4 linked regions of the Alligator mississippiensis genome follow. The protein of the gene in region 2 binds, or shares a complex with, the protein of the main gene of each other region. Links are inferred from orthologs where the notes say so. Each region holds a gene or a part of one and is shown on either strand. Other genes may lie near its edges.

The links.
Region 1: GTF2F2 (region 2) and GTF2H5 share a complex: the UniProt entries of both Homo sapiens proteins name them as parts of the TBP-based Pol II pre-initiation complex. The link is inferred for Alligator mississippiensis from reciprocal best matches to the Homo sapiens genes GTF2F2 and GTF2H5.
Region 3: GTF2F2 (region 2) and GTF2A1 share a complex: the UniProt entries of both Homo sapiens proteins name them as parts of the TBP-based Pol II pre-initiation complex. The link is inferred for Alligator mississippiensis from reciprocal best matches to the Homo sapiens genes GTF2F2 and GTF2A1.
Region 4: GTF2F2 (region 2) and POLR2H share a complex: the UniProt entries of both Homo sapiens proteins name them as parts of the TBP-based Pol II pre-initiation complex. The link is inferred for Alligator mississippiensis from reciprocal best matches to the Homo sapiens genes GTF2F2 and POLR2H.

Annotation. Positions count from the first base shown.
Region 1 is NC_081824.1:136,363,218-136,371,138, forward strand, and holds the start of GTF2H5 (general transcription factor IIH subunit 5), read left to right. Parts: upstream 1-4,911; 5' UTR 4,912-5,010; intron 5,011-7,921. UniProt on the Homo sapiens protein: Component of the general transcription and DNA repair factor IIH (TFIIH) core complex, which is involved in general and transcription-coupled nucleotide excision repair (NER) of damaged DNA and, when complexed to CAK, in RNA transcription by RNA polymerase II.
Region 2 is NC_081824.1:410,989,510-410,997,304, reverse strand, and holds the start of GTF2F2 (general transcription factor IIF subunit 2), read right to left. Parts: upstream 3,014-7,795; 5' UTR 2,877-3,013; coding exon 2,811-2,876; intron 1-2,810. UniProt on the Homo sapiens protein: TFIIF is a general transcription initiation factor that binds to RNA polymerase II and helps to recruit it to the initiation complex in collaboration with TFIIB.
Region 3 is NC_081825.1:266,198,155-266,205,552, forward strand, and holds the start of GTF2A1 (transcription initiation factor IIA subunit 1), read right to left. Parts: upstream 3,015-7,398; 5' UTR 2,935-3,014; coding exon 2,836-2,934; intron 2,825-2,835; exon of another isoform or gene 2,805-2,824; coding exon of another isoform or gene 2,802-2,804; intron 1-2,801. UniProt on the Homo sapiens protein: TFIIA is a component of the transcription machinery of RNA polymerase II and plays an important role in transcriptional activation. TFIIA in a complex with TBP mediates transcriptional activity.
Region 4 is NC_081830.1:83,504,549-83,511,443, reverse strand, and holds POLR2H (DNA-directed RNA polymerases I, II, and III subunit RPABC3), read right to left. Parts: upstream 3,004-6,895; 5' UTR 2,934-3,003; coding exon 2,861-2,933; intron 2,751-2,860; coding exon 2,667-2,750; intron 2,571-2,666; coding exon 2,477-2,570; intron 1,517-2,476; coding exon 1,433-1,516; intron 1,089-1,432; coding exon 971-1,088; 3' UTR 431-970; downstream 1-430. Other genes in the region: major facilitator superfamily domain-containing protein 8, read left to right, coding at 3,183-3,258, 6,651-6,836. UniProt on the Homo sapiens protein: DNA-dependent RNA polymerase catalyzes the transcription of DNA into RNA using the four ribonucleoside triphosphates as substrates.

The sequences.
Region 1 (7,921 bases), about 270 Mb from region 2:
GTATCATGTGGAGTGCCCCAGGGGTTGGTCCTAGGGCCGGTTTTGTTCAGTATCTTCATCAGTGACCTGGATGATGGGATCAAGGGCGACTTCAGCAATCTTACAGATGACACCAAACGGGGGAGTGGAAGATACATTGGAGGGTAGGGCTAGGATTTAGAGAGAACTTGAGAAATTGGAGGACTAAGCCAAAAGAAAACTCATGAGGTTCAGTAACGGCAGGTACAAAGTTCTGCACTTAGAATAATCCTACGCACTGGTACAGGCTGGGGACTAACTGGCTAAGCGGCAGCTCTGCAGAAAAGGACTTGAGGGCTATAGCAGACAATAAGCTGAATATGAGCCAACAGTGTGCCCTTGTTACAAAAAAAGCTAACAGCATAATGGGCTGCATTGGTAGGAGTGTTGCCAGTAGATTGAGGAAAGTGAGTAGTCCGTTCTATTGGGCACTTGTGAGACCACATCTGGAGTAGTGTGTCCAGTTTTGGGCCCCCCACTACAGAAAGGATGTAGACAAATTGGAGAGCCCAGTGGAGGGCAAAAAATAAAAAACAGTGAGGAGGCTGGGGCACATGACTTATAAGGACAGGCTGAGGGAACTGGGCTTATTTAGTCTGGAAAAGACTGATGGGGGATTTAATACCAGCCTTCAACTACCTAAAGGGTAGCTCCAAAGAGGATAGAGCTAGATTATTCTCAGTAGTGGCAGATGACAGAACAAACAGCAATGGTCTCAAGTTTCAGCAAGGAAAGTTTAGGTGAGATGTTAGGAAAAACTCTCTCACAAGGAGGGTAGCAAAGCACTGGAACAGATTATCCAGAGACATGGTGGAGTCTCCATCCTTGAAGGTTTTGAAGACTTGGCTAGACAAAGCCTTGGCTAGGATGATATAAGTGAGGATGGTCCTGCTTTGAGCAGGGAATTGGAGCAGATGACCTTCTGAGATCCCTTCCAACTCTAACTTTTTATGATACTATGAATACTAGCATGCATGGTAATTATGTCTAGGACAGTGGTTCCCAACCTTTTCTATACAGCAGACCAGCGGGGGTGGGATGGGACGCATGGAGCTGGCTGCCTCCCTCCCAGGCTTCCCCGTTGCCGAGCTTTATCCCTGCACGTGACTGCCAGCAGAAGCCACTTGCCTGGGTAGACAAATGGGAGTCACGACTCGGCAGCCAATCCTTCGCAGCCCAGTACCGGGCCACAGTCCAGTGGTTGGGAACCTCTGATCTAGGACATACTTTTCCAGGTTACTTACAAGACTGGCATGTAGGACTGAAGTCCAAATATTTACAATCACCATTTTTACCTTATGATCCAAATCAAGTTATCCTGTAAAAGGAGCAAAGATTTGGCATGATTTGCTCTTAACAAATCCATGTCATCTGTCAGTGATCAATATGTGCATAAAACAGTCAACCTGTTAGTAACTTCCTTGGCACTGATGTCAGGCTGACTGATCTTATACCTTGCTGGGTCCTTCTCTTTCCCCTTTTAAAAATGGGTAGTACAGTATGTAAGCCTTACCAGTTGTCTGGGACCTTGCCTGCCATCCATGATCTTCATCTATTATTGCCTGTAGCTCTGAGATTTTTTTCAGTGAGATCCTTCAGTACCCTTGGTTGAATACTGCACAGCCTCCTGACTTAAATTCAGATTAGTCAAAAATTCTCTACTATATTATTTGCTTAACATGACCGGCATCCTTCCTGTTCATTTATTATATTAATTCTGCTATTTTTTCTTTGGGTTGGTTGTTTTTGGAGTGGGGGTTTTTTGTTTGTTTTTTCTCTTGTGAAGGCATTGGACAGTTCCACCTTCTTTGAAATTTCCATTAATAGTTTACATTCTTTGAGTAATAGACCCACAGGCTTCTTGGTCTCTCTTTTTTAGTTTTTCCTTGTCTGATGTATGTGTAGAAATCTCTCTTGTTGTCTTTAACATTTCTTGCCAGTTGTTGGAAACCTTTGGCGATTTTTTGCCTTCACTTTTCCCATGTTTGTCATTATCTGTCCACCTCTACAGATGCATGCTTTTCTTCCCATTGCTGGTATGCATCAGTTTAGATCTACCATGGCAGCCAATGCAGCAACATTGGTCTCTTATGGTGCTTGTTATCTTCTTTTTTCATGGGAATAGTCTGATGCTGAGACTATTAAAATTATGTCCTTTTTCTTTTAATTTGCCTATTCATTGTAGCTTACCTACTATTTCTAAAACATGGTTCAAATGAACCTTTTGGAAGTCCAGCATCCTTATTTTGCTGCTCTCCTTCCTTCCTTTCTTTAAAATAATTCTATGGTATCAGGATCACTTCCTCCAAAGACGACTAAAACAGATTTGGTGCTACTGTAGACAGCTTGCTAGCAATGGTTACTATTTCAGCAACATGATGCACTTCTTACCACCCATCTTCCTCCACAAAGGGACACAACACAAGGAAAAATGCTGACCATGTCAATAACTGGTCCCTTTGAGGGACTTTTGCTTTCCATTTTCTTTTGTTTAAAATAAATAAAGAAAAAGCAGCACCCAAACCAAAGACAGTTTCTTCACCTTCCTTCATACATTCATAATAACCAAAGGCTTAAAACACACTACTTGAGCAGTTAAGAAAAAATATGCACTGCAGCATGAAAGCAGTTGCCTTTCCTTTCATCTCTAGAGAACCGTTTCAGTTAATGGTCCAATCCTAACTTCAGAAAGTTTTTTTTTTTATACACCACTTAATCACAGAGTGTAGTTGCAGCAAGCACAGTGGATCTGTGACTGTGTGACAGAAGCCACTACAATTCCCTACACTGCTCACATGGTCCATTTGGAAACACAAAGACAAAGCAACTAGTGTTTCTCTGCAATTAATGGTCTTTGGATTGGGCCCCTGAGGAGCAACACTGCATGGAAATCCAGGAGGACGGGAATGGGTTGGTTAATCTGGACAGGAGACCAGGTCTGCCTCCACCTGCAAGAAGCATTGTTAGCATGCTGAATTTTTGGTTGTAGTTGTGTAGGTCTAAGGACATAGGCACATAAGGTTTTTTGAGTAGATGTGATATCTTTTATTAGACCAACTGAGTAGTTGGAAAAAAGTTCTTAGAAAGCATTTGGGGGCAATCACCCTTCTTAAGGCATATGATTTTCTAGTTCTTAGCTAGTCTGAAAGCTTGCTAAAAACTTTTTTCGAACTACTCGGTCTAATAAAAGATAACACATCTACTCAAAAGAACCTTGCCTTGTTAACATACTGCATTTTTTCCACCAGTGGATTCAGACAGCGGTTAAAATTTAGGGTGTCTCGTGTCGTTATCCTGACCTCGTACTCTCCAGAGCAGTCGAGGACCATGCCAGCCTTCCACTGACATCGGGGACCTGGAAATGACAGCACCACACAAGCGGCACAGGGCTACATTCATCTCAGGCTGAACTTGCTCACAAGGCAGCAGCCCAAAAGAGGAGGAGCGCCCTGTCCGCTCTGACTTCTGAAGTGTCTAAGGGGATTTAAAAAGCCCAAGCCAGGCCTCTTCGTACTTTTACAAGGAATCCATAACATGTTGAAAGCTAACATGTTTTCTCCCCTACAACGCATTGTGAGGTTTGACCTAGAAACTACTATGCAAAGCCCAAGCAAAAGTGAATGTTATGTGACGAATGCCCATCTGCAATGATAAGGAGGAGACAGTCTTAGATAAAGGAGGCTTGAAAACAAAAGCAGAATCAGAGTACTGGGTCAAAGAGCTCATTAAAATACTAAAAATCACACCCCTAGGTGGGGAAGAGGTATGCTAATGAAACATACATGTACGTTAATGAGATACATAGCTAAAACACAGGTATAGAGACATGCTCAGTAAAGAACTCCTTGCGTCACTCCTTTATAGCCAATTAGCAAACAAGGATGCTTATGAAGGTCTAAAATCCCTGTATAAAAGGGGCTTAGAATTAGAAATCTGGTGTGCTTGTTCTGTGAAATTATTCCGCTTGCACCTTTTATTGCTAGCAATAAATCTTGTTTATACTTTCACCCCTGGTATCTTTATTGGCCTTTGCATACCGGGCACAATCCCAGACTTGAGCTGGGGCTCAACAGCATCTCTTCTCCTGCAAAAATCAGCCCCTCAAAATTGGGGCACGTGTATTTAGCAGGTAAAGTGACTTTTCTGTTTGGTGTAAAAGCACCCCGCTTCGCCTGCAGCTCCATCACCATGCCAGTACTCCTCCTTTTCCAACAGCTGAGGGCCATTGGCTCCAATGGCTCATTGCTTTTCACTCCACAGGGATTACCAGCTGTTTGACGCTCCACTAATCAAGGGCAAGGTTTCTGCCTGCTCCTGGGCTCGCCTCCTATTTCAGCCTGGAGTCGAGCAGGAAAACAAAGGGGGGGGCCCAGTCAGCCCAAGACTGCAAACTATATATTTTGCTCCCGTTCAAGATGCCTTCCCAAAGCAAAGGGCTGCTTATATACTGGGCGCATGTAGTATGAGGAAATACAGCAGGAAGCAGGGCGAGTATACGCAGCGGTTTACAAACTCAAACGGCCGCAGAACGCTGGGGACACGTGACGCAAAGCTACGCGCCGGGAGGGGGAGGGGCCTCGCGCAGGCAGAGAAAATCGTCACTCACGGAAGAGTCCATTCTCGGCGATGGGGTGGGGCGGGTTTCATCCCTAAAGGGGGGCTTGGAAACCCTGGGCTTTGCCCAGACTCCTCCCCCTCCCCTCAGGCTCCGCCCTCCAGCCGCGCCCGCGCCTTACCTGACCCGCAAGCCGCAGCAGCATCCCTGAGCACGGCCTTCCTTCCAGCCTTACTTCCGGCAGGTCAACGTGTTCGATGACGTCATCAGAGCGTCTCTGCGAACCCGGGCTGAGCGCGGAGGAAGTGGGTGGGGAGAGGGAGGGCGTTGAGGTTGCGCATGCGCATGGGTTGCACGGGAAGTTTGCTTTCTGTTTAGGAACCGGGCGCCGGAGGCGGCGGCCGGGGTTCTACTGTCGTCGGCGGAACCAACGGCCGGTAGGTGGGGGAGGGGCAGAGCGAGGCTCCCCAACCGCCACCCGTCACGTGGTGGGCGCGGGGGGAGGGGCGCGCGGCGCCGGTCCTGCTTCTCAGGCGCGGAGGGGCCTGGTCCTCTTGGCGACACAGGGGTTTAAGTACACACGTGTGTACAGCCCCAAAAGTAGACACGCGTTCAAGCCACATGCAGACATGCGCGTGCACACTGCTGCGTTTCCTCATGCCTAAGCAGATGCACTGGCACATGCATATCTGCAGCCATATGTGTAGACAGATACATGCGTGCATTCAGGCATGAGTATAGCTGTATGTACAGGCCGGCCCATGCATGTCAAAGCACATGTATAGACACACGCACATGTGCATTTGTATATGCATGTGTACAGAGACGATCTGAGCAGGGTGCGGGGCACAGGGCAAATCAGGCTTTGCGGGGCTCTGCCTCCAGACGCGAGAAAGCGGGTAGCAGATTCCGGGGGAGGGGGTGCCAAGCGGCCGGACATGAAGCCAGCGTTAGTGCGGAGTTGCCGTGGCCACTCCTCCCTGCTCTGCGGGGCCCAGGGTGGTTTCCCCAATTTGTCCCCTACTAGGGACGGCCCTGCATGTGTATAGACAGATATGTGCACACATACAGGTGTACATCCTCGTGTATATACAGGCACACATACATGCAGGGCTGTCCCTAGTGGGGAGCGAATCGGGGCAATTGCCCCGAGCCCTGTGCTTTGGGGTACCCTGCGGAGCCGGGCAGAGCGGCCATGTGAAGCCGGCGACAGCGTGGAATCAGCATCTAGCCACTTGGTACCACGCCCCCTCCTCCACCGCCAAATCCGCTGTCGGCTTCCTGGTGTCTGGGGGCAGGGCCCTGCACCTATCTTGAGTCATTTCTGCGCACGCGTGCATGTATATATCCACAAGCACAGATATACATGCGTAAGTGTACATTCACAAACACAGACGCACAACGTCTATTTTCTTGAACAGGGACCAGAACATCCCGCCTACCAGAGGTAGGGACAGTCTTGGGGATAGCTCTGTCAGGCCTTCAGTCAGTGCAGACGTAGTTAGGGATCTTCTGGAAGGGCTAGACATTTTAAAATCTGCAGGTCCAGATGCCTTCCACCCAAGGGTGTTGAGGGAGCTGGCAGGGGTCATCACGGAGCCCTTGGCCTGGCTGTATGAGCGTTTGTGGTCATCTGGTCAGGTGCCGGGGGATTGGAAACTGGCTAATGTGGTCCCGATTTTCAAGAAAGGGAGGAAGGAGGACCCAAGTAACTATAGGCCTGTAAGCCTCACCTTGGTGCTCGGGAAGATCTTGGAGAGAATCATCCAGGAGCACATCTGTGGGGGCCCTGCAGGCGAGATCATGCTCAGGGGCAATCAGCATGGGTTCATCAAAGGCAGGTCCTGCCTGACCAACCCGATTGCCTTTTATGACCAAGTAACGAAATCCTTGGATGATGGTGTCGCCGTGGACGTAGTCTTTCTAGACTTTAAGAAGGCCTTTGACACTGTCTCTCACCCCATCCTCATCAATAAATTAAGTGACTGTGGCATTGATGCCTGCACAGTTGGATGGGTACAAAATTGGCTGATGGGGTGGACCTAGAGAGTAGTGGTGAATGGGTCGTACTCAACCTGGCGAGATGTGAGCAGTGGGGTACCCCAGGGTTGGTCCTTGGGCCGGCACTGTTTAACATCTTCATCAGCAACTTAGGTGAGGGGGTGGAAAGCACGCTGTCCAAATTTGCTGATGACACTAAGATGTGGGGTGAGGTGGACACACTTGAAGGGAGAGAGAGGCTGCAACTAGATTTAGACAGACTATGAAAGTGTGAAGATGAGAATAGGATGGGGTTCAACGTAGACAAATGGAGGGTGCTGCACCTTGGGAGAAGGAATCCACAGCATACATACAGGCCATTGCCAGACCGCAGCCAACAAGGCCAGACCGCAGCCAGCAAGGCCAGCCATACCTTGTCATGCATCCAAAGGTGCATCTCAAGCCAGTCCAGAGAGGTGATAGTCCCCCTCTATGCAACTTTGGTCAGGCTGCAGTTGGAGTACTGCGTCCAGTACTGGGCGCCGCACTTCAAAAGGGATGTGGAGAGGGTTCAGAGGAGGGCCACCCACTTGGTGAGAGAGCAGCAGGGCAGGCCCTATGAGGAGAGACTGAAGGACCTGAACTTGTTCAGCCTTAGCAAGAGGATACTGAGGGGAGACCTAGTGGCTGCCTACAAGCTCATCAGGGGAGATCAACAGCAAATAGGCAGACCACTTTTCTCTCCAGCACCACCTGGGGTGACAAGGAACAATGGTATTAAGCTGATGGAGAATAGGTTTAGGTTAGAGATCAGAAGGCAATATTTTACAGTTAGGGTGGCCAAAATCTGGAACCAACTTCCCAGGGAAGTGGTCCTCGCCCCTACCTTGGGCAAATTCAAGAGGAGGTTGGATGATCACCTGTCTGGGGTCTTGTGAACCCAGCATTCATTCCTGCCTGTGGCAGGGGGTCAGGCTAGATGATCTGTTCAGGTCCCTCCTGACCCTAGCTACTATGAAACTATGAATGTATGTATACATCCTCAGATAAATACACACACGCGCATATGTATCTATTCACAGGCAGACAGACATGCATGCACACACTTATTTAGCTTCTAGTGATGGGTGTCATTTGTGCCCTAAAGCTTGTGCCACATCTCTCCTACCTGTCCTGTTGGGGTACTAAAAGAGATCACCAAAAATTGCCACCACCCCGGCTTTTCCCATCTTTACTGAGCATCATTGTGGCTCCAGCAAGGCTCCAGCCCTTTTTTGGTTCTGGCAGTTCTCAGCCAACAGCGTGAGCTGGATTTAATTTAGTTAGGTCTTTGCTTGCTTTTTGTGTGTATGGTTTATCTCAGGATGG
Region 2 (7,795 bases):
ATATTATCCAGGTGTACATCTGCGAGAGGCAAGCAGGGGAGTGTATGCTTAGGGGCAACCAACATGGGTTCATTAGAGGCAGGTCCTGTCAGACCAACCTGGTGGCCTTCTATGACCAGGTCACAAAATCCTTGGATGCAGGTGTCATGGTGGACGTAGTATTTCTGGACTTTAGGAAGGCGTTCGACACTGTCTCTCACCCCATTCTTGTTAAAAAATTAGGAGATTGTGATGTTGATGCCTACACAGTCAAATGGGTCACCAATTGGCTGGAAGGCCGCACCCAGAGAGTGGTGGTGGATAGGTCATTTTCGACATGGAGGGATGTGGGCAATGGGGTACCCCGGGGCTCAGTCCTTGGGCCCGCACTGTTCAACATCTTCATCAGCAACTTGGACAAGGGGGTGAAAAGCACCTTGTTCAAATTTGCAGATGACACTAAGATGTGGGAAGAAGAGGGCACGCTAGAAGGGAGGGACAGGCTGCAACTGGATCTGAACAGGTTGCAGAGGTGGGCAGATCGGAATAAGATGTCAGTATTGAATCCCAAGTGCAGGGTACTGCACCTAGGGAGAAAGAACCAACAGCATACCTACATGCTGGGGAATTCCCTTCTTGTCAGCACAGAGGCAGAGAAGGATCTTGAAGTCACTATAGACTCCAAGATGAACATGGGTTGCCAATGTAGGGATGCAGTCAGGAAGCCTAACTGCGCCTTGTCATGCATCCACAGATATATCACGACCAGGTCCAAGGAGGTGATCCTCCTCCTCTATATGACATTGGTCAGGCCACAGTTGGAGTACTGCGTTAAGTTCTGGGCGCCGCACTTCAGGAGGGATATGGACAGCATCAAGAGGGTCCAGAGGAAGGCCACTCACATGATCGGGGTGCAGCAGGGCAGGCCCTATGAGGAGAGGCTACGAGACCTGAACCTGTTCAGCCTCCACAAGAGAAGGCTGAGAGGAGATCTGGTGGCCATCTATAAACTGGCCAAGGGAGACCAGCAGGCAATGGGAGAGTCCCTGTTCCCCTGAGCATTACTGGGAGTAACAAGGAATAACAGCCATAAGTTGACAGAGAGTAGATTCAGGCTAGATATCAGGAGGCACAACTTCACAGTCAGGACAGCTACAATGTGGAACCAACTTCCAATGGAAGTGGTGCTTGCTTCTAACCTGGGGGTCTTTAAAAGGAGGCTAGACACCTTGCTGGGGTCATTTGACTCCAGGATCCTTTCCCGCCCATAGCAGGGGGTCAGACTTGATGATCTGCTCAGGTCCCTTCCAGACCTACCAACTATGAAAGCATTGTCTTATTTCCAGAGACTCTTTTAGCTTAGTGTGACAGGTGTTTGCCAAAACATCATTAGATACCATCTAACTTTGTGATTCTTATGTGGGGGAAATTAGTTACAGAAGTCTTCCCTCCGAGTTTCATATACAGTTCAAACACTAAGCACACCTAAGACAAAGCCAGGTGCTCACTGCTACAGTTCCTCGATTTTAGCAAATGCTAGCTCTGTAATTCACATCCAATTCAGCAATAGTAGAAAATGTAACAGGACTTGTGTGTTTTGACCATCATGCCACCTTCTAGCCAGGTGGTTCTCAGCCTTTTTTGTAGCAGGACTCATTTTTAAACACATATCAATGGCCAGTCCCAGCCCAGGGCCCCTCACTATCGGCCCACTACCTCTGTCTCCAGGTCCCAGCCCCACAGTGTGTGGAGCAGGAGGTGATATTTGAGGAAATTGCCAGCCTGCAACAGAAAAGCCACCATTTGCCATGTTTTTCTCCTTTAAAGAAGTATCTATTTTTAAAGTGTGCCCATGACCCTTTCATATATTATTGAGATCCACTTCTGAGTCGCAACCCATGGGTTGAGAAACGCTGTTCTAGCCTGTGTAAAACAGCACTGGTAAAAATGACGAGCTCCCTAAGGTTGACTTGCCTAAAAAAAGTTTTAAGATTACAAGGCTGCAGCACATCTACCATAGCTCAGCACCATCAAAGCGGGTGGTGGGGGTGCAACACAAAGGACACAGGCAGATCAGGGGAGGGGGCAGGGGGTGCCAGGCAGCGCACTGAAAGCCAAGTGGCTGATCAGCAGGGATCCTCGTTTTCTCCGATTTAAAACAAATCCCCAATTTTTGGAATTAAAAATGTAACACAAAAAAATCCACATTTTTTCATAATTAAAATGAAGCATCACTTATATCCATATATCTATATGGATCTCTCTCTCTCTCTCTGGATATTTCTATACCTTTATTTATATGCACACACAAACATAGTGATGGTTCATGCTAATCAGGGAAAAAAGTGGATTTTGGGTTACTTTAAATCCAAAAAATGGGGATTGTTTTTTCAATCAGAGAAAACCAGGATCCAGACAGGAGGACACAGGGCAAGGCAGAGTAGCCGAAAACTGAGTGTCTGATCGCGGGGAGGGGGAGGGGGGGAACGAGACGGGACTGGGGGACCGCCAGGGCAGAACAGCCGAAAGTCGAGCAACAGATCAGGGAAGGGGAACACGAGGCAGGGACAGAGCAGCGGATCGGGCGGGGGACGCAGGGCAGGACAAAGCAGCCGAAAGCCGAGCGGTCGATGGGTCAGCGGGAGGCACGGATTGGGCCAAAGAAGACCAGGCAAAAGCCCAGCGGAGAAAGCCGAGCAGCCGATCGGGAAAAGGGGAGGGAAGGGGGAGCAGGCAGGGCAGCCGAAAGTCGAGCGGCTGATGGGGCAGGGGCAGGGACAGGGACCGGAACCGGGATCGCAGTGGCCCTGAGAGCCCCCGCTGGTTCTCACCTTGACCAGCCACATGCCCGTGTTCTGCTTGGCCCCGGTCAGGTCCAGCTCCCCCTTGTCGCTCATGGCGGCGGCGACTGGGGGGGGCAGGGGACGCGCGGGACAAACTCGAGACGCCGCCGCCGCTGCTGCGCACGCGCGCGAGGGCTGCTGTCTGCAACCCCGGAAGGAACTTCACCGGACTACGGCGGCCCGCGCCGGCCAAACTTTCCGTGCCTGCAGCAAAGTGGAGCGGGGAGGGGTGGGGGAAGGAGTCTCCCGGGGATTCCCCGGCCGTGACTGCAGGGGGGCGCCGTGACGTAAGACGGGGCGGGGCCAGGGGACTTGTGCGTCCTGATGCCCCGCCCCCAGCCCCCACCCAGAAGCCGCACAGGGGATGAGGGCGGCCTTTGCTCTGCTCCGCTAGAATGGGCTGCCCTTTCCCTGTGAGCCACTGTTCCGCACGGCGATGGGCTCTGGTGTTGGGACAAGGACACAGGCAGACAAGTTTTTCCTAATATCCAACCTAAACCTCCCTTGCTGCAATTTAAGACCATTGCCCCTCGTTCTGTCACCTGTCACGAGTGAGAACAGTCAACCCCTGAGTCATGACCTCGAAGTGGGTCGCAAGAATATATGAAGGCTGTGAACAAACTTTAAAAATGGATTGTCTTTGAAAGGAGAAAAGCCTGGGAAGCAGGGTTTCCCCTTGCAGGCTGGCAGAGCTCCAGCCTGCAAGGGACTGCTTGGGGCCCCCCTTCCCCACACACTGGGGGGGCTGGGGTTGGGGGGGGGCAGTGGGTTGGGAGTGAGGGGCACAGGGTCAGGACTGGCCATCAATGTTTACAAATAGGTCCTGGTACAAAAAAAGGTTGAGAACCATTGATCTAAGGCAGGGGTTTTCAGTGGTTTTGATCAGTGTAGCCCTGGTGGCTGGACATCAAGCAGTGTACTAGGCCTATGCAAAGAAAGCGGCTAGTATTTGCTTCGGATTTGGATTCGGCCAATTTGGGGGACAGTGATTCGATTTGGTAATTCAAATCGCTGCCCTGAATCTATTCGGCCGAATCTCTAAATCAGCCAGGCCCATCCGCCGCCCACTCTCCCAGCCCAGCAATGGCTGCTCCACCTGCCCCAGCTCCTGGCACTTGAAACAAAAAAGCCCCAACTCAGTGGGTGCTGTTGGGCAGGGGGGTGATCCCCACTGCACCCCGTGCCACGTGGGGGGCTCTTCCACAAGCCCTCCAAAGCCCAGAGGCCGTTGTAGGAGCGGAGAGTCCCAGGACTTTTCTCATTTTTTTTTCTTAATGGGCTGGAGCTGTGCCTGGTGGGGTGTCCATGGCGGGGCTGGGGGAGCGGGGAGGGTTGGGGGGGGGCTCATGGCACGGCCCCCCATACAGAGTGGGGCAGTGGGGGGCAGCGGGGATTGCCCCTTTGCCCGGCAGCACCCCGTGAGCACTAGGGCTTTTCTTTAAAGGGCCAGGAGCTGGGGCAGGCAGGGAAGCCATGGGGGGGCTGGGGGAGCAGGCAGGGGTCAGGAGGGCTGGGGGAGCAGGCTGGGGATGGGGGATTCAGTTTGGATTTGGAGATTTGGCTGCTGAATCGAGCCGAATCTCCTCCGAATTGAATCAGCGCCCGAAGCTTCGCACAGCCCCACAGTGTACCCTGGCGGCTGGGTGTGGAGATGGGTGGGGTGTGGAGGTGTGAGGCTGGACAAGGGGTGGGGCGGGGGGGGTGGCACACAGCTGGACAGGAAGCAGGGGGGTGGGGGTGGCGCACGGCCGGACACAGAGCGGCAGTAGCCGTCACATGCGAGCTTCCTCTGTCCCCCATGTGTCGCCAGGCAAGTGGTGCCTGCAAGGCAGTGCAGGATGGTGCATGGCAGTGCTCCATCTCCGCATGCCCATGTATACCCCCTAGGGCCATCTCAGGTACCCCTGGGGGTATGCATATCCCTGGTTGACAACCCTGATCTAGGGGATAGTCTAGTCTAGTCTGCTCTGGCCTGAACTCCTGGATGCCTAACCGGCTTCATGCCCTTGCTCTCTTCCTGGCTTCCCCAATACCAGACCCAAGTCTGGCCTGACCTCCCAGGCATCTGACCCAGCTAGCTTCCTGTCCTTGTGCTCTGCCTGACTCTCTGGATCCCCAGCTCCGTTCCCTGGACAGATCTAGTTTCTGGCTTTTCCTGAGCCTGAGGTGACCCTCAGACCTGGCTGCCCATTGCCTGGCATGACAGCGACTTCACACTCCAGATCCAGCCACAGAGTGACCCCCATGCACCGATACACTGGGCCCCGCTATCTGGACCACAGGACTCCCCTACAGCTCCAGGAATGGAGACAGGGAAGCAGCGATTAATGCTGCCACCACACTCTCCCTGCCAAATTTCTGGAACCATTAAGAGACCCACAGGTCAGAGCAGGGCATCCAAAATCCAAGTGACAGATCAGGCAGGGGGCCACAGGGCAGCCAGGCCTAACAACGTATCTGTGGGCCTTATCTGGCCAGAGGTTGAGCACCAGGGAGTTAGGAGAAGTACGAGATAAACTCTAAGGCACAAAATGCCTATGATTTGAGGAAGGGCATATTGTGCCCAAAAGCATACATACCATCTCTCCCAACTATACAGTTGGCACAATCAAGGCTATTACAGAACAAATCCTGGTTCTCTCATACTGTCTGGAACTTGGGCTGGAACTAGTGCACCACCGTAACATTATCACTGCATGTGTCTACACAATCTGGCCAAGTGACTAGAATGAAGCTTGCACTGCCCTTTCAGTTTTAGCCCCAAATTTAGATTCGATTACTAGAAGTTTTCACTGGAACATGAGAGAGATGTTTCCCTGAATTAAGACAAAATGTGACAAGTGTATTTACCAAAGAAATAGTCCCTGCAGAGTATGGTGCCCAAACATTACAATTCTGCAAGTGACTTCAAGTATTTATTCACCTGAAAACTGGAACTAATTTGTATTTTACTATTTGACTTATTCTGGTCTAAACCTTTGTGTGGATGCTTCTGTATAAAGCCAATGAGAATCAAGGGTGTTCAGCACTCAAACAGAGCTCTGTATCGTGCAGGATTGGCCCGATAGACTCCTCCATTTTAAAGGAGAGAACAGAACATCAGGGACTGTGATACAACAAGCAATTTATAACTAGTAAGGTGTTTGTAAGAGGAGCTTGTACCTTGCAAGATTGGAGCCCAATATGATTTTCCAAGACTACATAAATGAATGAATGGTGGAGCCGGTTCTCCTTACTTACAGTTTTAGCTCAGTCCATATACTCAAACCAAGCCTGTCCCTACCTAAAAAATAAAAAAGGGGATGGATATATTTTTTTCAACACACATAAAATTTTAGATAACCTTGTGCCATTAATTCTAATAAATGTTGCTTACACCAGGGGTCAGGAACGTTGGCAGCAGGGGGACATCTTAACCAAACTTAACTCCAAGCTTGAGCGGCTTCTGACTCAGTCCACACAACCATAGCTACAGTCCCATTCCCCATGTGGTGGTGGTGCTGCTGCTGCTGCTTCTCCACACCACCCTGGCAAAGACCCTCACCATCAAAATGACACCAAAGCTGCCCAGCCCTATGGGCTAAATAAATTTCTCCATGCGCCAGATTTGGCCCGCAGGCCATACACCATAAAACTACTAATTAGAAAAGAGGAATATAAATCTGAATCACTGAAATACACTTGTAGCCAACATAATTGTCCAACCTGAGACTTGTCCAGCAAGAAATCATGACTCTTAGTCAGAGTTAAAAAAAAAAAAGGAAAACATTTAAAAATCTAGTAATTTCACTGGCTCAGCTGGTACTTGAGAGCTAAAAGAGACAAGGCAGACTTTTTTTCCTCTTAGTGACTTGCTACAGGCAGCCTTTCCAGTCCTGTTTCCATGGAAACTAAATTAAAAGGGGCAACAAGGTAAGAAGAATTGTCATTAATTCCTAATTTAAACTCCTAACGTTCTGTTTTCCATTCCAATATTCAGTTCCATGGAGGAAGAATCTCAGAGGCCAGTAGCTGAGAGCTGAAGCTGAATGTTAGTTTCTATTTTTTATCTTGTTGTGTGAAAACTGTTGTTAAGTCAAGAGAAATAAACTACAAGGTTTTAAATTACAGACTCTTTTACTGAACTTTTTTTATTCACTCAGCTGAGTGCAATCATGATTGCACTGTAGTAAGCAGCTGAGAAGGGCTTTCCTTTGTCAATTATAGGTGCGAGCTATTGGCTGAAGAATAACAGCACTGTCATCTAGACATTTAAGGCCTGGTGTTGTCCTAGTGAAGTCAGTCGGAGGTTTGCCCTTGATTACAACTGCTTCATGCTTCCCTAGAGCCACGGACATCAATGCTGATAAGTGCAAAGTGATGCACCTGGGGAAAAATAACCTGAGATGCACATACAGGATGAGGGGCTCTATATTAGCTGTTAATACTTAGGAAAGAGATCTTGGAATTACTGTGGATAGTTCTCTGAAAACAGCCCAGTCAAAAAGGCAAGCAGAAGAATGTTGGGAATTATTAAGGAACGGATCCAAAACAAACCAAAAAATGTCACTGTAGAAATCTCTGGTATGCCCACATTCGTGAATACTGCATGCTATTCTGGTACCCCTGCCTCCAAAAGGATATCCTAGAAGTAGAAAGGTACATACAGAAAAGGACAGGAAGGATGATCAGTAGCTTAGAGAAGCTTCTGCATAAGGAGAGACTAAAGAGAGACTAAACAGGCAAGACAGAGAAAAGATGACTGAGCGGGTGGTGATAAAGGTCTATAAAACCATGAACAGCATGGAGAAAGTAAATAGGAACTTACTATTTATTGTCTTTCACAATACTAGAACTTGGGGGGCACACAATGAAATTTTAATTTCCTAACAATGGCCTCAAAGCTCCTTGCCCCTACAGAAGCAAGCCTTACATTTCCTAGGATTCCTTTTTCCTAATCCTTCAGGGTTCAGCTGAAAGATGGTTCAATTTAA
Region 3 (7,398 bases), on a different chromosome or scaffold from region 2:
TCATGGCACCCTGGTTGAGAGCCACTGTTCTAATAAAACAAGAACAAAGGTTCCTTTGTAAAGTGAATATACTGAATTGCAAGCTGAAAGCTAACAAGCTACATAGTATATACATATGAACTAGTTCCGGAGCAAAGGAGCCATTGATATTTTTATTTCATAACTGAGGCTGTAGTAATTTAAAGCTAACCAAAAATACTACCCTGTTTGGGTCTGGTCACTAAAGGTACTACTCACATGCCTCAAATTAAATGTGTGCATAATCATTTGCAGGCCTGGGGTCCAAATTATCTGATTTAAAATGAGTAGCTAGTCTTATCAAAGAATGCAAGTTCTTCAGAAATTAAAGTATTAGGTGAATTAATTACATGATTACAAAAGTTGCATTTTAACACCACTGCTCTATCATGTTTGATCTGTTTATGATGAGAAGTTTTTTTTCTTTATGAAGAGTCAGCTATTACTTTTCCCTTCTGTATTAATCACAAGCTGCCCAGTACATGTGTTCTTAAATATGCAGGTTATTCAGAAAGAATGGTATGGGCTGTTTATGTTGTACATAAGGGGAAAGTCACTATCCCCTTTAACTGTCCTCTCCAAGGACAGCAATGACTTGTTGAACAGTTGTGGGAGAAGTTAAAACACATCACAAGATGCTGTTTTCCAATACCATTTAGCCTATGCAAATCCAAAGAACAGGGTATAAAGGATAGCTTCAATGTATAATCTTTACAAAGAAGCAAAGCAGGCAAACTTAATTTGTGTCCCTCACTCCATGTAAAAATTAGCAAGTATAATACCAACAGGTTATTCAAACTTCAGTTTAGGTATACCAAGCCCCCAGATTTAAGTGACAAACATTCCTTCCATATACTCCTTGCTCGCTTTGAAGCCAATTTTGAGAGAAGTATTATTGAACAGACCTGAACCAGGTTTTCCTATTTGATCATGAAAATTCAGTAGAAAGAGTTCTAGTCAAAAAGTAATAGAAATGTAACTTCTGAAATCTGTTCCCTCCCCACAGTTCTTTCCCTCTCCATTTCAAATACTGTAAGTAAAGACCATCTGTTCCTCTCTCTCATCCTCTTCTCTGCACGTACATTAGGCCTAATTCTAGCTATTAATGGCACAAGCATTCTCAAGAGATGCACTGAACTGCACAAGCTGACTAGTATGTATAAAACTGGTTTTAAGGACCAAATGAGTGCAAACCGTTTTTTCCCTCTGAATTTAACACCTTTTTTCCAAGACTGTTTTTGCATAGCAGTTTGCCAAAGCAACCAGCCACACCAGGGCAGTTCCATTATTACTACTGCTACAGGAATAATTACACATTAACTTCTAGATTGTGAAGTCACACACCATCTGACAAAGCTTCAGGGAAATCAAGGCAATAAAGAAAAACTCTCTACAGAAATTTACAAGACGCCAGTTAAAATTATCATGGTTTCACCCATTCTGAATGAATAAAGTACTTGCCTTGTAAAAGGTACATCAATAGCGAACCTAAGCTGTTCATAAGTGAATGTATCACAGTCAAATTAGATCTGCAGGTGTTTGGCAAGCTCTGTTCCAAGCACTGACTATAGCTTGTCTGTCTTGATCTAATGAGACTTACAATTTTCTTATTTCCTTATTTGTGCATGGTTATATAACCATATATTTATACAAAACGTTTGTTAACTGGTGCTCCCTCTGCTGAGCATAGAAAAAACTGACCATCTCTCCCTCCCTCTGCACTTACAGCAGTTCATTTGAATATGGTGTGCTACATGAGCTCAAATATTTCAGAATCCAAAGAATGCACACCAAGTCATTTTAAGTACTGCAAGCCATTTTGAGATTACATTTCTTAAATTCCTTTTTTTTTAAAAGGATACCCCCCAAAAAAAATCTGTATGCAGCTACTCTTACAAACAACCCCTCAGATTCCTGTAACTGAAAGACATAGTTGTATTGATTTTGTGCATCTGACTGCAAGCCAACTAGTTTTCAAGCTATCCTACCTCCTTTAAAACAAACTGGCTATAACAACTTGCTACAGAGTCCTTGCTTATTTATGCAAGCCAAAAATGAAAATACATCATTTGGCTCATAACGAGCAAGAAAACTGACTGATGATGATTTAACGACACCAAAGCATTAAGAGGCTTTTTGAAGTAATTTAGAACAGAAGTCCAGCTTATGAACTGGCTATGTTCTTTAACTTGGTTTTGTTCAAAATATCATTATGATGTTAAAAGGTGCAGCTCTATTATTGGCTATAGATCTGCACTCTAAAAGATAACATTACCGACTGAATAACCATCACCAACAAACCACCTCTCAGCTGAAAAACGAAACCGAGCCATTCACCTCCCACCAACCGGCAGGGTGACCTGAATCACACATTACGGAGCTTTATTTTCTAACAGGACTTTTCTTAGGATAGACCTGTACCAAGCGATGGAGACAGCTGCCCAGCTTTGCACAGCAGAGAAATCAAGTGTTACTGGGGCTTTGCAACAAAGTTATTTGCAAATCCTTCAGAGTGAAGGCCTTTTCTCTTAGATCTTTACAAACCTGCTCTACAACAGAAGAGAAAATACAGGCATACTACCTTCATTTTTGTTTTCCTTATATTTATTCATGGGATCCTACTTGGTGCTCTTAAGATTTAGCTGATATTTTACACCCTGACTGAATGCATTTACTGGACTGATCACCTTCTCAGATCAGTGTGCGTGTGTGGGGGGGGGGGGGGGGGCATGCAGAGGAGGCAGAGAGAAAGAAATAGATATAACACCAAATAACAGCTTTACCATTCTAGAAACACCAATGCCCTAAAAAGCTAACCCGCTCCGTGGGATTTAGAACGCCAAACAATCCAGGTCTCCCTCCTTTCCCCGCCTCTAGCGCTGCTGCTGCGAGCAGGGCACGAACCGCTGCTATCATGGAAGGCAGAAGAGCTGGGAAAAGAGTCTCAAGCGCTTCGCCTTTTCCCAGGCAGCAGTCAAATACCTGCAGCCGCGCCACCACCTCCCCCCGCAGGAGCCTTCCCCTGCCGCCTGCCCCAGCAGCTCCATCCCCCCTGCAACAAAGACCCTCCGACCGCGCTGCCTCTGCCTCGGCCTCGCTCCCGCTCCAGGGGGAAGCCCGTAGCGGCCTGGCCACGCGGCGGGAGAGAAAACCCCGCCGCCGAGAGCGGAGCGGAGCGGGGCCGCTCGGGCAGCGGCGAGTGACAAAGAGCCGGAGCCGGAGCCGGCGCCTCCCCCGGCCGCTGTGGGCTGCGCGCAGCTCCCCGCCCGCCCGCCGCTCTCGGCGGCGCTCTCTCTCTCCCTATTTAAAGGCTGCCGCGGTGTTTAAATGGAGAGGCGGTGACGTGGGGCTGGAAAGCACCTTCCCATCCTGGCAGAGTCTATATTAGAGAGCGGCAATAGCTCTATATAACCCGGGCCGCCGCAGGGAGGAGGAACACAAGGCGGGGGAGCAGCCAGGCCGGCGGGAGCCATGATGGATCGGCCGAGACGGGCGCAAACAAGGGGCCGCGGCCGGGGCCGGGCCGGAGCGGTGCGTTGGGGCAGGGGGCGCGGGGCCGGGGGTGTGTGACTGCTTGTTGCAAACCGACGGGCGCTCCCAAGCAGCCGCCGCCCACGGGAAGCCGACTGGGGCCGGGGCCGGGCCGGGCGGGCTCGTGGGGCGGCGGGCGGGAGAGGGAGAAGGAGGAGGACGAGAAGAAGGCCCCGAGCCCGCCACCCGCCCCGGCCCGGCCCCCCCGGTGCTTACCACGGGGTTTGTGTTGGCCGCGCTCGCCATGTCCCGCGCCCCCCGGGCGCCCCCACCGCGGCCGCGGTCGCCCCCGTGAAGCGAGAGACGTGCCCGGCGCCGGTGCCGCCCCCTTAATGCCCAGCACAGCCCTGGCTCCCGGGCGGCGCCGCGGCCTAGCCTGGCCCGGCCTCTACTCCCGGCCCCGGGCTGCAGCCGCCGCCGCCAGCCGCCGCTCTGCCCGCTTTGCCCCTTTATATAGCGAGAGCCGAGCAGCTGCGCGAGCGGCCGGGGAGCGCGGGGGCGCGGGAGGGGGGCAGCTCTCGCGAGAGCTGGCGCCGGAGCACGGCCCCCGCGCGGTCACGTGCGAGGGAGGGAAACGGGCGGCGCGGCCGCCATGACACCTAGAGAGGCGGAAGTGCGCGGTGCGGGGCGCCTCGGTGGATATGTCCGCTGGGGGCTGAGCGCGGCTGGGCTGGCGCGCGCGACTGGTGACGCGTCTGATCGCGTCAACGCGGCGGCGACTTAGCGTTCCACGACGGCGCCGGGCAATGTAGCGCCCGGCCGTATTGAGCCTAGTAGGGGCTCACCCCGTGGCCCTTTGACTGGATTGCTTTCAGTAGTCACCCGGCTGATTCCCGCAGGGTCCTGCCCAATCCGGGAGGGTTGGCAACCCCAGCTGCGGAGGAGCTGCACTGTTACATGCATGCAGTCCTGGGGTGCCTGCCCTTAGGCCCCAGGGCTGCAGCAGGGAAGCAGGGGAAGAGGCTCCCCCCTGGAGGCCAGCAGGGCCCAGGCAGAGGGAAGATCCCAGCAGTTAGTGGGGGACTTGGGTTCACAAAACTACATGGCAAAGAGAAAATCAGTGGGGAGTCATTATTGGCTCTCACAAGACAAGAACAAGCGACCACAACTTGAAGCTGGCAGGAAGAGCCCTGGTCGAGGTAATCGTACATCCCCTTTTTGCTAGGACAGTCCCCTATTTGAGCCCTATCCCAGGTGTCCCCACTTTTTTTTAATTGGCTATTTGTCCCGTTTTCTTTTGCCAGCTGAAGTATTGCATATTCAGTAAAGCATTTTTCACATGGCATTACATATAAAAGAGATGTAATTGCATTTTTTTCCTTCCCTCCATTTCACAATAACATCCCAACATTTTACCACTTGGTTTGATTTACAATAGGTGATGGCAGCGCACGGCGGCAGCTCTGGGATCTACCCACATGAGGTGCACATACAATGCATGGTCAGCTGCAACACATGAGGTTACAGAAGTTATCAGTAGTGTTTGCTATAAAATGTCACAAACATGTCTGTTCCTGTAAGGAGGACCTACAAAATCAGCCAAGTTGTATGACAGACTTGTGGAGAAAGCAATCTGGGTTCATGGTAGAGGTGATACATTTTATTAGACCAACAAGATTTTTTCAAAAAAAATTCTTTAATTGCAAGACTTGTGGCAGCTGCTGTGACATTACTCAGCACCTTCAAACAAAAAAACAGGCCAAAAGTACTAAGTATGCAACTCCAAGCATTTCAGATTTTTTTTTTTTTATTTTTGTTAAGCAAAACAAAAAATGTGATTGGCTTTTTGTTAGTCACATTTTTGCCAGTGAGGGACTGTTTGCTTACCACTCTGTGTCATGGACACCTTTTTGGGTCAAGTGACTACATCACATTAAGAAACTCTACCAACCTAAGTTTTCATCTGCTCACACAAAATCCAAGGCAATAATTTGCAATGTATTAGCTCTTTTATCAACAGAAGAAGTGCATCGTGATTTGGAGAAGTGCTCATTTATTATGCTTAATGTGGATGCATCGAACAAAAAGGAGCAAAAGCTGTTTCCTGTTCTCGTATGCTTTTTTCTTCCAATTAGGGGAGTCAACACAAAAATAATAATTGAGTTTTCTACTGGGTGAAACATCTGATGTGCAGCGGGCATTTCTCTAGCAAGTGATTGAGAAGTACTCTCTTGGTGCAAAGCTCGTTGGAATTTGTGCAGACAATACCAACACTAACTTTGGTGGTGCCAGACATCCTGGAAAAAACAATTTGTGGCAAAAACTCCAAGCCAAACTAAGAGTTGAAGAGCTGAAAGACTTCTGCCAATTTGTCAGTCTTGAGTATTTTAAATGACTACAGCACAGCAGCACACAAATCTTGTCACTGGGACCAGTGCTGGATAGAATTTTGTTGATTTTCTATGGGCTTAAAGCATGTTTCCTTTCTCAAGAGAAATGGCTGACACTGTTAAAAGAAGTCTTCAATGACCCTAGCACTAAATTGTAGCTTGCCTTTGCCAGTAAACAAACAGCCATGTTTCAGAAGAACATAGAGGCAATTAAGAAAAATGATGTGTCAGTGACAGAAGTTGCTTTGCAGATACATTCCCTGTGGGATAACTTAGCAGAGAGACTTAGACAACAATTTGTCCCAACAAAAGCAAAGAGCCTACTGCAGTCTCTTGTAGATTGTCAGCAAATGAAGGAAGAAGAATTTTACAATGCAGAATTTTACAATGCCTGTCTTACTTGGAGTACTGGAAACCTGCTTTTGAGCGTGCCAAAAAGCTTGAGTGGGCCCTGTCAAGCAATATGCCAGTGTGGGATGAAATATAAGACAGCTTCGCTACATGCCACACTAGAATTCCTACCTTAAGTATGTTGGATGAGAATTGCCCTTTTAAGTGAGCCAGTGCAAAATCAATCATCTCATCATCTTTCTGACTGCAACCATCAGTGAATTCCCATTGCTGAAAGGTGGCTGTGCATTTTTCAAGAGATGGACAGCAAGATAGTACAATATGCAGATCTAGCTAAGGCTGTGGAATTCGTGTTGCGTTTCCTGGGCACAACCGCCCCCCGTTCAATGTGTGTTTTCTAGAATGAACAATGTGTGGTCTCCTGAAAAATCACATCTGCATGTCTCTACCATGAAGGCTATGTGAATTAATTTTGATCTGGATTGTACTGTGTTCTGTGACAAGCTGCTGAAAGACAAGCAGGCCCTCTAAAAGATAGCATCATCAGAGAAATAAAGGTGGCAACAAGCAACTTCACACCCTGAAGGACAGCAAGACAAGGAAAACATCAGTAACCACTTTATTGTAAGTGCATACTTTCACTGTTTATGCTGTTTGTAAGGGGGAAGCTACTGTATTGGCTAACTTATGAAGTCAAATCCATTCAGTCTCTTTAAAGTCATATTAAGAGCATGTCACTATATTGTGTATTTTTCTTATATGTTTTTGCATATGTAATTGAACTCCCCTGAACACTAGTAAAATCTCACCCAGGTGTTCTGGTTTCAACATGGGGAAGTATAGTCATGCAAGTCATAGTCATGGAGAAGTAGGGCTGGAAGGGACCTCCAGAGGTCATCTACTTCAACTGCCCTGCCTGAGGCAGGATCATGGTTTTCTATCACATCCCATACAAGCCATCATCTAAACTCTATATAAAGCTGCTGTCAGCCCTGACACAACATAGACCTAGCACTCTAACCTGCCACACATAAAGCAGTTGAAGCATTGCAGCCACTGTCCTGCTTCTATGAAATGTTGTATATACACTCAGGATGTCCCAGGTAGAGGGCTATGCCCCCTACTTTGGAGGAAGGCAAAAATCCCCACAGTTCATACTAATCCCAAG
Region 4 (6,895 bases), on a different chromosome or scaffold from region 2:
CATCCTTTCAGGAAGTGGGTGTCTTGGATACCCTCCTGCTGTGACTGGGAAGCCCTGGTGGAGGTAACAGCACAATTCCAGTCCACTCAGACAGAACTGAGCCTCCGGCCTGTTATAGTGAAGAGAGAGCAGTGATGTCTCCACCTGTGCACACAACATGGAAGCACCCGCCAGGGCCCACAGGTAGCCTAGAACTAGAGCTCGGAAAGGAGAACGCACTGGGCAAAACGGAGGGGCTGCTAATGATTTCACAGCTGATCACGTCAACAGGGACAGGAGCTGAACAGTGCAGGGCCTGAGAGTCCCCAGCCCAGGGCTTGCAGGGGTTCAGTCCTTCATTAGGCCATGGCTATCATTCCCCAATGCGCTCAGTCCCATTGCTTACCTACTTCACACCTTGTGGAATTCTGTGGGAGGCAAAAGCCAGGACAAATCTGAAAAACAAGTTTAATAGCGAACCAGAGGGGATGGGCTCAGGAGCTGCTGCCCTCCTCGCCAATACAGCACATGGCCTGCCTAGGTGGGTGGCATAGGCTGTACTGCAGCCTGCAGTGGAGCCACGGGGCAAGGATGTAGCCTCCCAGCTGGCCGAGGAGAGCATGTGCCATAGGCAAGTCCTCCAATGACCGGCACCTGCAGGCAGGGACCTAGGAGCTCACCTGCGTGTGACCAGCCCCTACAAAGGGCAGTTCTTCAGAGACTGGGGCATGAGCTGAGGTCTCAGCCTGCTCGGCAGAGAAGCAGTCTCCTGGCCTGGATGGCAACCCAGCAGAGATGTGAGCAGTGCAGGCCTCTGGGCTGGCTGCACAGACTGGAATGCATGGCAGGGTTCAGGCCCACGCAGATGAGGGGTGAAGGAGCCAAACTCCTGAGGCACGGATCAGAGAGGTTGCTGGCAAGTCCATGTCTGTCCAGACAGCCTGTCAGGCAGGGTCCCTGCTGCCTCCTGCAGACCCTCAGCTCCCGCCCCTTAGAAGGCCAGTTTCTTCATGAGGAGGTACACCCTGGAGTCCACTTCGAAGCCATGCAGGTTGTTGGCATCTCCCTGGAGACGCATGAGCAGCCCTCCATAGGACACGTAGGCAGAGCTAGGGTGGAGGGGAAGGATGAGAGCAGGGTAGGAACTCGGGGGAGGCTGACCATAGCCCCAAGCTCTAGAAGCCTAGCTAAGAGGCAGCAGCACTGGCTCATCACGGGGCTGAGGGAGCTGGCTGCCAGGGCAGACTCCAGCCAGCCCCTCAGGGAAGCAGTCCCACACGAGACCAGCGTACTGGGCAGCTCAGCACAGACTGCTAGCAGAATCAGGTGTTCCTACCCCCAAGCTGCCAATCTGGCACCCAGACAGGACATGGACCACCCCCCACCCCTTGGCATCCACGAAGGACCAAATTCCCAATGAATGACAGGGAAGCAGCACAGGGGAGACACTTACAGTCGCGTGGCAGCCTCCGTAGACGTCTCGTCTCCCTCAATCCTGTACACCTTCCCATACATCACATACTCAAACTGGTCAGCCCTGTGAGAGCAAGACAGCAAGGCTGGAGGAATCGGCATGACCCTGGACCCAACCCTCCTGCCCAACACAACCCCCCTCCAGGCTAAACCCCTGCCAGCTAACACTGAACGCCCCCAGTCATCCTTCCACCCTCATGCAGCTGATCAGCGCTGCAGGCTGAAGCTGTCTGCCTCTTTTTTTCATTTGGTGACAGGCTCCCATCCAACACCACGGAGCTAGGGGATTTTTTTGGCTAATACGGATGGCCACTTATTAACCAGCCATATGGGCCAACACCAATCTGATAGCCAATATACAGCCTGGCAACTTGGAGAGCAGCATCCGGCCTGTAAGCCTGGGGGGCGGGGAGGTGGGGGATGGGCAGGCAGATCAAGGCCCACCACAGTGAGGGAGGACGTGGGACTGGGGAAGGGGCAGGTGCTGCCTGGCCAGGGTGGTGAATGGGCCCCTGGGGTAGGTTACCTCTCCCAGGAGTACACACAGCAGAGAAGCTGCCTCCTCCCCAGACACAGCTCCACCCTGCAACTCACCTGGGGGGCCCATTCACTGCCCCGGCTGTGCAGCACCTGCCCCGCCCCACTCCCTCCCTCACCGCGGGGGCCTCGATCTGCCCCCACACCCCTTCCCTCCCACTGACTCACCAGCCAGACGCTGCTCTCCACAGTGCAGGGCCGCGCTCCTGGCCGAGCGCAGGCTGAGGCTGCTTGCATGCGCGCGGCATTTAGTCGGTGACGTTATCGGCTATGCCGGCCAAAAAAAGCCAACCGCCGATAACGTTAATCGCCGCCGATCTGATACATCACCGATGTATCTGCGCCCTCGACACGGAGCCCCGGCGAGGAGGGAGACCGAGAACAGGCGGGGACCCGGTCGGACGCGGCAGGGAGGAGCGTCGTAAATACACAAGGCAGGGGTTGAAACAAAGCCAGGCTGCAGACACGGGCGCGCCCGCGCCCCTACCTGGAGGGCCGGTCGTCCGTGGGGTTGTACTCGCCGTCGTCCAGCGTCCCGTCCTCGTACAAGGTGCTGGCGATGACCAGGCGGAACTTGTCACCTGCAACCCGCGGGGTCAGCGCCGGGCCGGGGGCGCGCGGGCCTGGGGTGGGGGGTGAACCCTTCCCCGCCCGCCCGGCCCCGCCCCGCCACCTACCCAGGTCCACGGGGTAGATCTGGATGTTGACGTCCAGGATCAGGTCCATCTTGAAGGACTCGCTCTCGCAGTGCAGGCGGGACACTGCGGGCAGAGCGGGGGTCAAGGCCCGGGGGGGCGGGGCCTGGGATGAAGGGGGCGTGGCTTGGGCACAACAAGGGGGGGGCGGGGGAGGCTGTCCCGGCCCTGCTTACCGCGGTCGAACTTCTTGCCCTCGGGGTCGATGTCCTTCACATCGAAAATGTCCTCGAACAAGATCCCGGCCATAGCAGCGGCCGCGCTCCCCCGTGCCCGGCGCCCGCCGCGGCGACACGCGCTGCTACTGCCGCTTCCGGCCGGCGCGCCGGAAGTGCCTCATCCGTGCGGGGCGGAAGTGCAGGCTCGGGGCGGAAGGGCCACTCCGGGAGGGCGTTCCATGCTGGCAGTCCGTGTGCGCATGCGTGTGCCGGGGCTGGACCCCGGGCTCCCTGCTCCGCGCGGCCGGGCCCGGGATGGGGCGCTGAGCCGGGCGGGTGCATGGCCGACCCGCGGAGGAAGAAGCTGACCAGCGTCGCCATCGCGCTGCTCTTCCTCTCCGGGGGCATCGAGTACGGTGAGTGCCTGGCCCCGCCCCGCGGCTCCCGCTTCCCTTGGACCCATTTCGCAGGCGGGCACACTGAGGCCGGGCAGGATCCGGCCCGCGGGACGGTCCCCAGCCCTGGTGGTGGGTGCGAGCTGGCTCTCTGCTCCCCCCCGGTGTCTACAGACTGGAGCGAGGGATGTTTTTAAGGCCAAAAGGGGTCTTCTCAGACCTACTGTTTGACTTGTCGGGTCACGTGAGGTGCTGGGTCCTGGATCCTGAAATAATTCTTCCTCCTCCTGCGTTTTCACCCTTGTGACACGGCGGTCACTGGGTCTGCGGCGTTCTGCGCCCAGCCCGCAGGCCTGTCCTTGCGGGAGCGGAGCTGACTTTGCTGTTTCCTCGGTTAATATTTTACAAGGTGCAAGCTGAGCCTGCAGCTCGGGTAGGCCCGGGAGGAGCCCGTTCCTGCTCTTCGCACCAAGGATCTCCGAGTGCTGGGGGAACTGGTAGCCCAGCGGGGAGCAGGGCAGGAGCGTTGACTGTCCGGGAGCTCCCGACCGCTGCAGTCCTACCTCCTTCTAGGAGGAGGCTTCAAACCCAGCGGGGATTGGGGTCTGAGTGCCGGGAGAAGTGGTGGATTGCCAAGTTGTCCTTCCCTCGGGTCCTCTGGGTTCATCCCCCTGCTGGGAGCAGCCAAGGGCTCAGCAATGTTAATGCAGCAAGGACCAAGGGTGGATGCCGGAGCCGAGTGTCATTCCCCTGCCCTTGCCTGTCTCGCCACCTGGGAGAACGTGGCAAGTGCTGGCACTTGCGCGGCTTCGCGACATAAACCGATTCCCCGTGCAGAATCGGGCTGGGGGGAGGCGCAGTTGGCATTGGCCATTTGGCTTGTGAGGGCAGCCAGGCGAGAAGGTCTGTTGTTACGGGGCCTCACCCCACCGCACTGCACCTGGCAAAGCAGCTTTCCTTGGCAGCTGGGTGCTTCAAGCTGAGCTGACCGGTCCGGTGACGTGAGCCACTGGTGCCCTGGGGAGCGGAGCCAGGGAGCGTCTAACGAGGAGGTGGTGTTTGACATGGCAAGGGTTTGATTGAGGCACGTCAGTCAGCGTGCCGGTCCCAGGCTGCAGGGCCCAGCCTTGGCACCCTCTCACCTGCTTTCTGCCTTGTCTGAGCTTGCGCTTCCTTCGGTCTCTGCAGCTGTGGGAGTGCTCCGTGTTCCCGGATGTTTCTCACCCTTCCTTTTACTTCCCTTTGTGCCTCTGTGCTTCCCAGGGGTGTTGCCCTCACCCCTTCCTCCCAGAGTTGGGCTGCCTTTCCACAGCTGCTGTCTGGGGCATGGCCTCACAACTAAGATGAGCCCCTGCCTCCAAGAGCCGATGGCCCACTCTAATGAGCCCAGGTGTGGGGAAATGGGGAGAGGCAGGGACTCAGCCGGATTCTCCCTGCAGCTCAGCGGCAGGTGCAGGAGTCTGACTTGGGCGTCTTGTCTCCATGCCCGTCCCCTGGGCATGCCTGTCTGTGCTCAGAGCATGCTGGGAGGTGCTGGCTGGGGTCTGTGTCCAGCCGTGCCCCTTGTGCTATCACGTCGGCACCCACGCCGACATTCAAGCAAAAAAGGGTCCCAGGTACCCGGGGGTTACGCAGGCCAGGTGCAGACTGGAAAAATACGGGCCAAACCCATGGCTCATGTCCCACAGCTGGGAACACTGCGGGGTGTTCATAAATGTCGCTCGTCTTCCCAGCTTCTCCCATCAGCCCTGATCTCCTCCAGCATGAGTCAGCTCCACTCCTGCTGGCCCAGTGCCCAGCTGGGCCCTGTCCAAACTCACCTCTCCGCTCAACCCATTCCTGCCACTAGTCTTTGGTGACCCTTCTAGGTCTTCGCTCTACCCTCCTTGCCCTCTTGGGGTTTCCTCTGTTGAGTGAGCCCCAAGAACCCCTCATCTCCATGAACCCCACTTCTTGGTCTGTCTCCCTTCTGTATTCTCCTGGATGTCACCTGCCTAAGAACAGTAGGGTCTGGACTGAGATTCCCCCCCCACTAATTTACAGCAGCTTCCCTTTTCACCGAGGCATGGGGTCATCTCCAATGTCTTCCACGTCCCAACTTTGCCTTTTCTTTCTCCATGATCCAAGCATGCTCTGTCCCCCCTTGAGCTACCGCTTTGCAGTCCCTGCTCTCCCGTTCTCCGGGAATGTGGGAAACTGAGGCCCAGGGGTTAGTCAGTCCTTGGTTTATGTTGGATAGGGCCACAGAGCCAGCCCTGGTGCGTGGGCGGGAGGGTGCTGAGTCCTCCCAAAATGAGCAGGGGGTGGGGAGCTGCATGCGCTGCCAGCTCGTAGAGAGGAGGCCTCCAAGGGCAGCAAAAAGACTTTGAGCCAGGCAGATCTCTCTTTGAGCAGCCAGCTCCGTCGTTACAGAGGGAAGTAGGGCAAGGGTGAGCAGGCGGGGGCGGGCGACAGTGTTGCAGCACCTCTGTCCCTTGGGGGAAAGCAGGCAGGGGCGAGCTGAGCCTGGAGGGAGAAACTGGCCATGGGGCCTCCCTGCCTGACACCAGAGACCTGCCCTGGCCCTGCTCTTGGTGCCCAGGGTGACTTGGGGGCCTTTCTGCTTTCTTGGTCCTGGACCTGAAACTCCAGAGCTCCCTTGCAGGTGATCAGAGAGCAGTCCCTGAGCCGTGGGGCAGGGCTACCTCTCGGCTGCCTGCCGGGGACATCTGGAGTTGGCCGGTCGAGATAACCTGTGCTTTCAGGAATGGGAGGGTGTGGGGCAGCGCAGGGGGCAGTCCAAGGCAGGCTGGGGGGATCTGCCGCTAGCTGTACAGAGCTTTGTGGAGCTTTCTAGCTGTGCTGCCTTTGCAGGGGAAGCGACCTGGCCATGGCTGCTCTAATAGCATGTCCTATGCAAAACGTGCTGTCCTTTCCTACTCTTACTGCTGACCAAATGCCTCAGGATATGCCAGGATATGATGGACTAGCCAGGTGCAGCCTGAGAGGGGAGGCTCTGAGCAGGCAGGGGCATTGCGGGGGTCCCCATGTCTCTGGGAAGCCAGTGCTGTCTCCTGGGGGAGAGGGAAGGACTAGGAGAGCTCGCTGTGGCTGCGGAGGGTCTGTCTGCATGGCTGATGCTTCGCCTTGCTGTGCCAGGCATCAGGAGAAGCCATCCAGCTGCCCCAATGGCTGGATCAGCTGAGGTGGGCAGGGTGGGACCCCCAGATGGTGAGTCTCAGGGACCCAGATGGCCTTTGCTGTCCTTGTCACTGGTCAGCCCATGCCAGTTTGGGGGGTGGTGGTCAGGAGCTGGGTGGCCTGGCGTTGTGCTGAGATGATCCAGGATCAGGCTCAGTATCGGTGTGGGGTGTCCTGGTAGGACTCAGCCTGGGGCTGTCTCTGACTGTCTGTCTGTCTTCCTTGCCTGCCAGCGGTGATCCTGCCAACCATCTGGGCCTACCTGCAGACTCTCCATGCGGAGCCGTACTTCCTGGGCCTGGGGATTTCTGCCTTCAGCCTCACTGGCCTGCTGGCAGGGCCCCTCTTCGGGCTCTGGTCGGACCGCACCCAGCGCACCAAAGCAATCATCCTCTTCGCCAACACGTTCGAGATTGCAGGTGAGGCCGTGAGAGCAGACTGGGGGGGACCTTGTAGTTCAGATTCCAGCCCTCCCTGA